Linked DNA regions of Tribolium castaneum. The protein of the gene in region 2 purifies or fractionates together with the protein of the main gene of each other region. This does not show direct contact. Links are inferred from orthologs where the notes say so. Each region holds a gene or a part of one and is shown on either strand. Other genes may lie near its edges.

Region 1 (3,661 bases), on a different chromosome or scaffold from region 2:
TTATATTCTGTTAGTGCATTGGCTTGGAAAAAAGATGGTTCAAGAATGACTTGTGGTGGCTTATGTGGTGTTGTAATGCTATTTGAATCGGTTTTAAAACGAACAGTTTGGAAAGATAAATTTGAAATAACATACGTTGGTCCAAGCCAAGTCCTTATAAAACCACTCGAAAGCATCAAAAGCAACGAAAACGGAATTATAATAAAATCACAACACGGTGGTGAAATCGAAGATGTGAAAATAATGGGCAAGGATTTTTATCTCGTTGCTCGAACTGATGAAACTTTATTAGTGGCCGATTTACAAAGAAATTTATTAAGTGAAGTTCCTTGGAATAATTCAGGACGACATGAAAAATTCTACTTTGATTATGCGAGCGTTTGTTTGGTTTTTAACGCTGGTGAATTAACACTCATTGAATATGGAGATGATCAAGTTTTGTGTTCGGTGCGAACCGAATTTGCAAATCCGCATTTAATTAGTGTACGTTTAAACGAACGCATTTCAACAAGTGATAATAAAAAATTAGCTTATTTGTTGGATTTGAAGACGATTTGTATCGTTGATTTATTGAATGGGGTGTTAATAATGCAAGTGACGCACGATTCGAAAATTGATTGGTTAGAGTTGAATGAAACCGGACATAAATTGTTGTTTCGGGATAAGAAACAGAGGTTTGTGTTGTATTTGTTTTTTTTTGTGGCTAATTGTTTGTCGTAGATTAATTTTAGTCGATACAACTACTCAAAACAAGCAGTGTATTTTTACGGGTGTTAGTTTTGTTCAATGGGTTGAAGGTAGTGATGTAGCTGTGGCTCAAGCCAATACGAGTTTAGCTATTTGGTATAATATTGAAATGCCTGAAAATCCCACAATAATGAGTGTTAAGGGTGATGTTACCGATGTTGTGAGGAATAATGGTAAAACCGAAGCGGTTTGTATTGATGGGAATAATGTTTATAATTTGGAATTGGATGAAGGACTTGTCGAGTTTGGTAAGTATTTTTTTGCAATTATTCACGCAAATTTTTATTTTTTATAATTTCTGGATGAAATATTCGCAACTAATGTTGTGACTTTTCTTTAATTTTCTCAATCTTTAGAGTCCTAACAACATTCACTAGCTTGATGCGCATTTTCTTTACAAAAAAGTATTCGTCCAAACATTTAGTTGTTAGGGCTCGTAGTGCAAAACTTCAAAGTTTTTTACGCTCCGTTTTTTCTTTCCCCTTAGAAAATCCTTCTATTTTAACAAAATACCTTGTTCATTTTTTTTATTCTTAAGTTAATTTAATTTAATTTAATTTAAACGTTTGTGAGAAAACGAAACAATTCCCATTAGTCATCAACAATATTTTATTTTATTTTATTTGTTAGCAATTATCTTGAAAACAATTAGTCGCAGGACAATCATCTTTAAAAAAAATAGATAATTAAGAGAACTTTCCAACAATAACAGTTCCGAAGTTATTGCCCGATAATTTTTCTTTGCAAAAGCGAGTTTTAAAACACTTGAAACTAAAATTTTGTACAAAAAATTTCAAAGCTTTAAATCTAGTGAAAATTTGGTATCATATGCACAATGAACTACAGAATTCACTGGAATAAACCGTTTCGCACTATGACTTTTAATTTTTGAGTTATGAATTTTTAATGGATAACCCGGCGCATCCACCATTTTTAAAATTGAAATATTTTTTCGGGTAAACTAGCGTTGTGAAAATCGTGGTATAGTTCGTACAGTGAGCCGTAGAATTCAATCGAAGGAACCGCTTTGCTCTACGACTTTTAGTTTTTGAGTTATGATTTTTTTGTGTTGAAGAATTAAATATGAAATGGCAACACTATTTTTTCAATATTTTTCTCAAGGACGGCAAAACTATTTGATAAAGTGGAAGTGTTTTGATGTAAATCTATGTAAAATGGTCCGGGAAATCGACTGGCGTCAAAAAAAATGCCAAATTCTTAATCGTTTTTTAATTATGAATTTTTTAAATCTCTTCTATTTCTATTCTATTTTTTGTTTTATTTGCACTTTTCGCGAAAACTATTAGTCGGGGAACAATGGTCTTTTTTAAAGAGGATATATAATTAAAAGAGCTTTCCAACGATAATACATTTCATAGGGTTATTTCTAATAGTTTCGGAGTTATTGCCTGATAAATGTTCCGGGTACCGAAAATCTATCCTAATCTCGATAAAATTTTGAAACTAGTATCATTCATAAAGTGAACCGTAGAATTCACTAGAATTCAACCTAAAAACGACGAAATATGGTTTGCTAGACAAAATAACCTTCATTTTCATTCTTATTTTAAGAGTTAAAAAATAAAAAGAACATATACAGTTCCACCACCCGCTTCGTTCGCTTCTAGGTACAGCAATCCACGATAATGACTATGCAAGAGCCGTTCTTTTCCTCGAATCAATGGGTAATTCCCCGGAAGCTTCAGCAATGTGGCACAACTTGTCAACAATTGCCTTAAAAGAACACAATTTACAATTAGCCGAACGTTGTAATGCAGCTTTAGGTAATGTAGCAACTGCACATTTCCTACGTGAAACGATTGAAAAATCAACAAATGAAGAAGAAAGTCCGGAAATTTGGGCACGTTTATCAATCTTAAACGGTGATTTAACAACAGCCGAAAATATTTTTTTGGAACAAGGTGATATTGAAAATGCTTTAAATATGTACAAAAAATTACACAAGTGGGATGAAGCTTTACGTTTAGCTGAACAACGTGGTTATGATAAGTTGAAACAATTACAAGATGAACATATGTCTGTTCTTTTGCAAAGTGGGCAATTTGAAAAGGTTGGACAAGTTCTAGAGAAGGAAAATAAGTTTGAACAAGCTTTAAATATGTATATTAAGTCAGGGAAATTATTACGAGTACCGTCACTAGTATTAAAAAATGAAGTGCTTTTGAAAGATCATGCCTTAATAGCCACGGTTTTGAAAAATTTGGTTAAACATGAAATGTTTGAAGCTGCAGCTGAAATTTACGAAAGATTGGACAAAATTGATCTTGCAATGGAATGTTACCGTAAAGGTAATCAATTAAGTGGATGTCTTATCAATTATTTATTACCAATTATTATTAAAGGAAAAGTTTGGAATAAAGCTGTGGATTTAGCTCGTGAGGTAAGTCCAGACAAAGTTGTTGATTTGGAGGAAGAATGGGGCGATAGTTTGGTCGAAAGTAAACAATTAGATGCTGCCATAAGTCACTTTATTGAAGCTGGACGCACTTTGAAGGCTTTAGATACGGCAGTTTTAGCCAAACAATGGAAAAAAGCCGTTCATATAATTCGAGTAATTGATGATCAAGAGTCGGTGAAAAAATATTACGATACTATTGCTGGTTATTTTGCAAAAAATCGTGATTTTGCAACAGCTGAGAAACTTTATGTTTCGTCTGGAATGTATAAAGAGGCGGTTGATATGTATAATGAGGCCGGACATTGGGAGAAAGCACATAATTTAGCATCACAATATCTGGAACCGGATGAAGTTGCCGATATGTATATCAAAAAAGGTAAGTACAAAAGCACAATTTCCATATGAGCAATTTTACTCCAGTAAAATAAGCATTTAAATCAAAATGTTGATATAAGTTACTGTGAAAGGGTTGAAAATACGAAAAAGCGTTTTTTT
Region 2 (3,761 bases):
AAAAAATCTGAAAAAATCCACATGGATAATAAAAATGTGGAGTAGTAAATAGTCTTTTAGCAGACTCACCCCGTATATTCAACTTTCAAGTCAAATAATTTAATTTACTAAAAGTTTCAGAATTTTTTTTCGTAATTTGAAAATTTCCAGAAAAAAATCAATTGTGAAGATCCACTGATCAAATTAAAATTAGTTCCATTAAAAAAAATCTTATATTTGAAACGATTTGGACTACGAAGCATTTAGTTTAATATGAAAATAAATAATTGCGAAAAATTCTGAGAAAAAAAATCACGTATAGAGAAAAACGTAAAGTCTTTAACAATTATACAATCTTTTTTTAGTCAAATAATCCCCAACTATAAAAATAAAAAATCACCAAAAATCATTCCAACACAAAATGCGTCCAAGTTGGCAGCATTTGAACACGCCAACCTACCTCGAACATATCCTTTGATAAACGATAACACGCGACCCTAATGAGTTACTTTAACGACTACAGTTTATGGTAGAATTTTAACCGCAACCATTTTAATTTTACTATTTGTTTGCCCAACAAATTCCACATTTACTCCCTGCTGTGAGATGACCAACTTTTATTATTGGTACACATTCAAAATAAAAAAATTTACAAAATCATGAAAAAAATCAAGTTGCGTGTTTTAGAACCGGCGCATCCACCATTTCGCCTTCAGTGGTATAATTACCATCGCCATTACACCCCAAAAAATGGCCTGGTGTTTTGAATTAATTCTTACCAGAGGAGGCACTAGCGGACGGCTGCATGGTCATGCCAATTGAGCAAATTTCAGTATCGTCATCCCACAACATTTTAACACAACACACTCACAACCAACAAAACAAACCCAGATATGTTACATTGATACGGAGCGAGTTTTCAAGGGGTTTCATGGTATTTCTGTGGTAGCAGGTGCTGGGTCGATGGGTGCTCGCCAGCGACTGCAGTGCCTGGCTTTGTTTGTAACCCTGGGCGACTGTATTCCGATACTGCGCCCTCGCACCCTTACATTTGCACCCTTAATCAGGCGCGTTTCGCTGCTTTTTCCAACGTCATCAGTCATTAATTTCACTCACCTTTGTCAACAAAACAGTCCTTGAACGGTGACAAATTGTTCCGTTCTAGCCATTCATCGACTTTACCATCCGGTTTATTGTCCGATTCAAATAATCCAGACCAAAAGCAAAAACACAGTCTTATCACACTAGCAACACTAACAAAAACCAAAAATACAACAGCGAATAGTTTGGCACAACGCTTCATAATACAATTTTACGAAATTTTCGTTACATTTTGGCTTTTTTTCGAGTTTGGTTGAGACGGCTGTGCCCACTTTTAGCAACCGGCCGCCATTACTGTTTTTGTCAAATGTGGCGCCCTCTAAGTGGGCGGAGCCGCACGTTACCATGACAATACGAATACAAATTGACGAAATTTTACGCCAAAAAATGTCAGAAGAGAGTGAACAAACGTTTTCGGCTTTTAGCCAAATGGAAGGGCTTCTAGATAAGTTGAAATTGTTGAATTACGAAGCTGAATTTTTCAAGGAAACTAAGCTCAAGCCCATCCATAGGAAAGTCCCCAGTTTAATAATTCAAATAGTAATGGAATTAATTACAGGTATTATTTTGTTGTTACCAAAAACCCGGGCGAACAATTTTATTTGTTTGCCTTATTGGCGGCCTATTTAATACAGAAGATTGGAATTAGTTTCCAAACGCCACAAGAGGATGATGACCCGAATGTGACCGTGGAAAAAATACTAGATGTGGTGCGAAAAAATGTAATTCATTATTGAAATTTGCACTATGGTTGGAAACAGAATATAAGTTGGTATTTTTACAAAACACAGTATGATACGTCATTTTTGTCACGAGTTTATAAAGCGAGTTGCATACTATATTTTTTCTACGACAGTAGAAGTAACATTTGCACATTTTTTTCGAAAAAAACATAAAAGTTTCAACGATTTCTCTCTTAAAAACCACCAAAATAGCATAAGAATAATTAAAATTAGATATTTTGTGGCCAATTTTATATAAAATGTTTGAACTAGAATTTTTTCTTGAAAACTTTAGACTATATATTAATTCCCAAATCGTTAAATTAAATCACCAAACCCCAAAAAAACAGCAAATTAGATCGAAAAAACGTTTTATTCTAACGTTATAGCATTTTTTTTAAATTTTTAACTCTAATTTTTCACCAAATTTTGTCAAAAAGCAGCAAATTACGGTAAAGAAGACAATATTCTGGAATTTTCCAAGTTCAAAAATTCCTTATTTTGAGAAACTCTGAAATAAATGAGTCCAAAAACTCGAAATTTTTGCTGAATTCCGTCATAAATTTCTTAAAAAATCACGAAATTAATGTGTTTTTCGTCAAAATTAATATAAAATATCTAAACTATCGTCAAATTTGTGCATCTTGGCACAAAATTGAGACAAAAAACACAAAAAAACAGCAAATTAGGTCAGGTCAGGTCAGGTCAAAAAAGTTTAATTCAAACATTTAAGCATTTTTTTTAATTTGAAACTTTAATTTTCCACCAAATTTCGTCGAAAAGCAACAAATTATGGTAAAATTAGCGTTGTTTTGGAATTTTTCAAGCGTGTAAGTTGATTTTTCAGGTAAAAATTCTCATATTTCGAGAAATTCTTAATAAAAAATTAAACCTCAATTTTAAAATAACACAGTTTTACATAGTTTTTTATGATTTTCTGCACGTTTTCGTCTTAGGAACACGAAATTTTTGGCAAATTTCACAATAAATCTCCCACAAAATCCCCAAATTTGTGAATTTTTTTAAATATTTCAGTTAAAAATAATAAAAAAATATCCAAACTATCGCTAAATTTGCGCCTTTTTCAAGCACTTTTAATTTTTCAGCTAGGAACTCATTTTTTTCGCTAAATTTTGCCAAAAAAAAACAAATATCAAAAAATAAACAGACGTAAAATCAAAAATTCTGTTTCCATCCACTAATTTATTGGCCAAGTATTAAAATCCGAATTCTAGGAAATTGCTGTTAATTTCCACGCCAATAAGCTGATGCAAGGTGTGGGCGAACAAGTGGTTTACATTTTGGACAGTCTGGCCAGCAAGGCTTTGGAGAAAAATTTCATGTTCCAAAAGTGAGTAAATCCCCCTTTGTTTGCTTTAAAAATTGTGTTAGGCCTTTGCTTCCCGAGGAAAAAGCGGAAGAAAGCGAGCTGATAAACGACGAATCCGAGATAAACCTTGACCGTGTGGAGGAGGAAATGTTGGCAGCTTACACGGACGATTCCGACGAGGAAAACCTTTTCCTCCTTGATAACGTGAAAGTGGCCCGGAAAGAGCCCCAAATGGCCGAAATCAAAATGAACGTAAATGAAGAAGCGTGGAAATTGGAACTGGAGCGAGTTCTCCCGCATTTAAAAATCACAGTTAAGAATGAAAACCGTGATTGGCGTTCGCATTTAGAGCAAATGAAGCAATACAAAGTCAGTGTTGACTCGTCACTTGGTGTGGTTAAAACACAGTTGGAGAAGTTGCATAAGGAGATAAGTCAAACGCTTGATAAAATCGCAAGTCGAGAGAAGTTTCTCAATCGGGAGCTGGAGAATAATTTGGATGAATATAGAATGCTGCAAGATCAGCTCTCGAAAATCAGAGATGCTTATAAGGGGATCAGCGAGGGGGTTGCTGAGAGGAATCGCGAGCTGTTCAGGCTAACGGATCGATTGGAGACAGTCAAACAGCA
Region 3 (2,595 bases), on a different chromosome or scaffold from region 2:
AAAACTTTTAGACCGAAAGATTCTGATTTTATTTATGTTTCTAATGCAGTCCCTCTGCAACAACAGCAAGTAATAAACTGGATAAAATTAGCGGCACAATAATTGTGTAAGAATATAATGGATAAAACGTCACCAAAAAAAATCTCTGTGATAATAATTGTTACAAGGTGATAAACAAAGAGGTTTGTCCGATTCATTCATTGATTTTTGTGACGACTTCGTCGGTAAAAACAGTCTTCAGAGTTGTTGCTCCAACATGAAAAATTCAAATTAAACCCCTTTGCCGGAGGCAGAAAATACTATATTTATTTTCACGCATTCTTTTGCCACAAACAAATTTATATTTACTCGAAGAATTACACATTCTTCTCGCAAATAAACAATGATTTAATTCATTTGCTGTATAACAGTTAAATGTGTAAAATAATAAATTTAATATTTGTAACAAATTTTTGTTGATTGTTCCGTTTATATCATTGTAGCGGCTCGTCAAAAATAAAGAGAAACACGAATGAACTAATCGTTTTATTATTTTAACAACAAAAACCCAATGTGATATTTACTTTTGCAGTTCGGCTGAAATTTTTTGTTGCACTTTCTCCGCATCTATTTGTATCTGAAACCACAAAATGTAAAAACAAAACTCCATGAATCAACTTACAGTTTCATTCATTGACGAAAATTTGTTATCACTTTCGGGTTTTCCCAACGAGTCTAAATACTTTTGCCTTAAGAACAACACTGTGTCAATATGCGTTTTGTGTTTAATTGCCAAATCCAGAGCCCTGAAATTATTCTCAGTTTTTGCCCGCTTTCTTATAATTCCTACCGCCTCCAGTTGTGCATTTGAATGTTGCTGTAAATGGCTTGAAACACCATCCCATTGTGCAAAAGAATTGCCTCAGCTTCTTGCTGCGCCCCACCAAGGAGGGCAATTGCGGCTTTTTGTTGAATTTTGTTCGTCAAACTCTTTGCATATTGGATGTAAAACACTTTATCAAAATGATTAATATTGGCGAAAGCTTCCTCCGCTATGTCGATAACATCGGCACTGGACTGAGTCGTCAAAACTGCAAGACATGCCCACAAAGTCTCGTCGTTTGTTGATCTACATAGATTTAAAGCGTCGCTCCATTTGTTGTCTTGAATACATCTGAGGCCGAATTAGTGACTATTAATCAGACAAGGAAACACATTTAGCTACCTATGAAGTATTGAAGGGAATGGAGAAATCGGGACGTTGATTAAAGAACCATCAGCTCTCCGAATTGACACCGAATTCCCCACGAAATCACTTATTCTCGGATTACGTCCCAGCTCTGGAGCGCCGTATTGCATTGAACATAATTTCAGAAGAGTTGAATTAAAAGCAGCAGTCGGACAATACCAAACAACCAACTGTGCATCTTGAATCGTTGCAATGATGTTTGCTTCTGAATTCCACTGAAACGACTCTGTTTTCCTACCTGCAAAATTGTAATCAGAGTTGAGGCAACCTTAGCGTTTGACTACCTAGTTTATGGAATATTTTATTATTACTTCTTGGTGCAACGACGTATAGGTCTTTAGTTTTGTTCACCAGTGCTAACATTCGGGCACTTGGTGGTCCCCACTGGTCAAGAGCGACTTGTAAAATGGGCAGAAAGTGTTGAACCGTTGAAGTGGATTCTGTGGTACTTCTCACACTGCTTAAGTCAATTACATGCACGACTAAAATTTTGATATTAAAACCAAATGTTCAGTGTGTAACAAAAAAAGTACTTTTATGGTCTATAGAGTCTCGTACGACTAAAGTATCGGACGATAAGCTAATATGAGTAGCTCTTAAAGAGTCTAATCTCATGTTGGGCCATCTGGGCGAAGCAATAAGTCTCCCTTGATAATTGTAGATGCCGATGGTGTTTTTTTCAACCAGTAACATGTGTCTAAAATTAGAATTTAATATTTGCTATTAAATCCCGGTATTTTAATACTTTTCGGCTAGTAGTAATAAAATTACAGAACCGTCCTTCAAGTCAAAAATTGCTGGTGTATTCCAGTTATTGGTGCTATAAATGTAACATTGTGTGGGCGTTGTTGCAACCAAATGCGTGTATTTTAGAGCCAATTGTATTACTCTTTCTGGTAATTCGAGTTGTTCGAAAGTATCGTCCACAACATTTCTAACCGTCACGACTTTACGTTCGGTTACTGAAGCAGTGAAATTTTTGTAATGAACGTGTCTTTCCACTATGTGTGCGAAGAAGACGTGACCATTAGCACAAGCACCCGCTAGTTGAGTACCATCTCCAGACCATGCCATTTTGTAAACGCAGCCCGTGGTTGGTTTTTCGAGAGATCTTGACCACTACAATTACGGATCTTAGGAGCATAAATTATATGGGTTTTATTTTTTTTAACAGTTAACTAAACTCAGAGCTTGTTCAATTTATTTTTTGTTGATTTCGAAATTATTGCTTTTGTGTGAAAAATTGAATAGAGATCACTTACTAAAGCCAAAATGCTTGACTCTACAAACTTCAAATTCGCATTCAGTACTTCAAAAATACGCTTTTTTCTCTTAAAAATGTATAAAATGTTGGCAATACCCAAAAT

The links.
Region 1: the proteins of IFT57 (region 2) and Oseg2 purify together in Homo sapiens (affinity purification with mass spectrometry; 3 studies listed by BioGRID and IntAct, counting the BioPlex papers as one, with this or other methods). This does not show direct contact. The link is inferred for Tribolium castaneum from reciprocal best matches to the Homo sapiens genes IFT57 and IFT172.
Region 3: the proteins of IFT57 (region 2) and Oseg5 purify together in Homo sapiens (affinity purification with mass spectrometry; 3 studies listed by BioGRID and IntAct, counting the BioPlex papers as one, with this or other methods). This does not show direct contact. The link is inferred for Tribolium castaneum from reciprocal best matches to the Homo sapiens genes IFT57 and IFT80.

Annotation. Positions count from the first base shown.
Region 1 is NC_087394.1:885,993-889,653, forward strand, and holds part of Oseg2 (intraflagellar transport protein 172 homolog), read left to right. Parts: coding exon 1-674; intron 675-720; coding exon 721-995; intron 996-2,375; coding exon 2,376-3,056; intron 3,057-3,110; coding exon 3,111-3,542; intron 3,543-3,661. UniProt on the Homo sapiens protein: Required for the maintenance and formation of cilia. Plays an indirect role in hedgehog (Hh) signaling, cilia being required for all activity of the hedgehog pathway.
Region 2 is NC_087402.1:750,597-754,357, reverse strand, and holds the start of IFT57 (intraflagellar transport protein 57 homolog), read left to right. Parts: upstream 1-1,410; 5' UTR 1,411-1,425; coding exon 1,426-1,594; intron 1,595-1,641; coding exon 1,642-1,802; intron 1,803-3,037; coding exon 3,038-3,153; intron 3,154-3,194; coding exon 3,195-3,761. Other genes in the region: apoptosis-resistant E3 ubiquitin protein ligase 1, read right to left, coding at 1,096-1,282. UniProt on the Homo sapiens protein: Required for the formation of cilia. Plays an indirect role in sonic hedgehog signaling, cilia being required for all activity of the hedgehog pathway.
Region 3 is NC_087398.1:6,317,571-6,320,165, forward strand, and holds the end of Oseg5 (intraflagellar transport protein 80 homolog), read right to left. Parts: intron 2,348-2,595; coding exon 1,974-2,347; intron 1,926-1,973; coding exon 1,762-1,925; intron 1,711-1,761; coding exon 1,513-1,710; intron 1,467-1,512; coding exon 1,205-1,466; intron 1,154-1,204; coding exon 830-1,153; intron 786-829; coding exon 662-785; intron 617-661; coding exon 560-616; 3' UTR 511-559; downstream 1-510.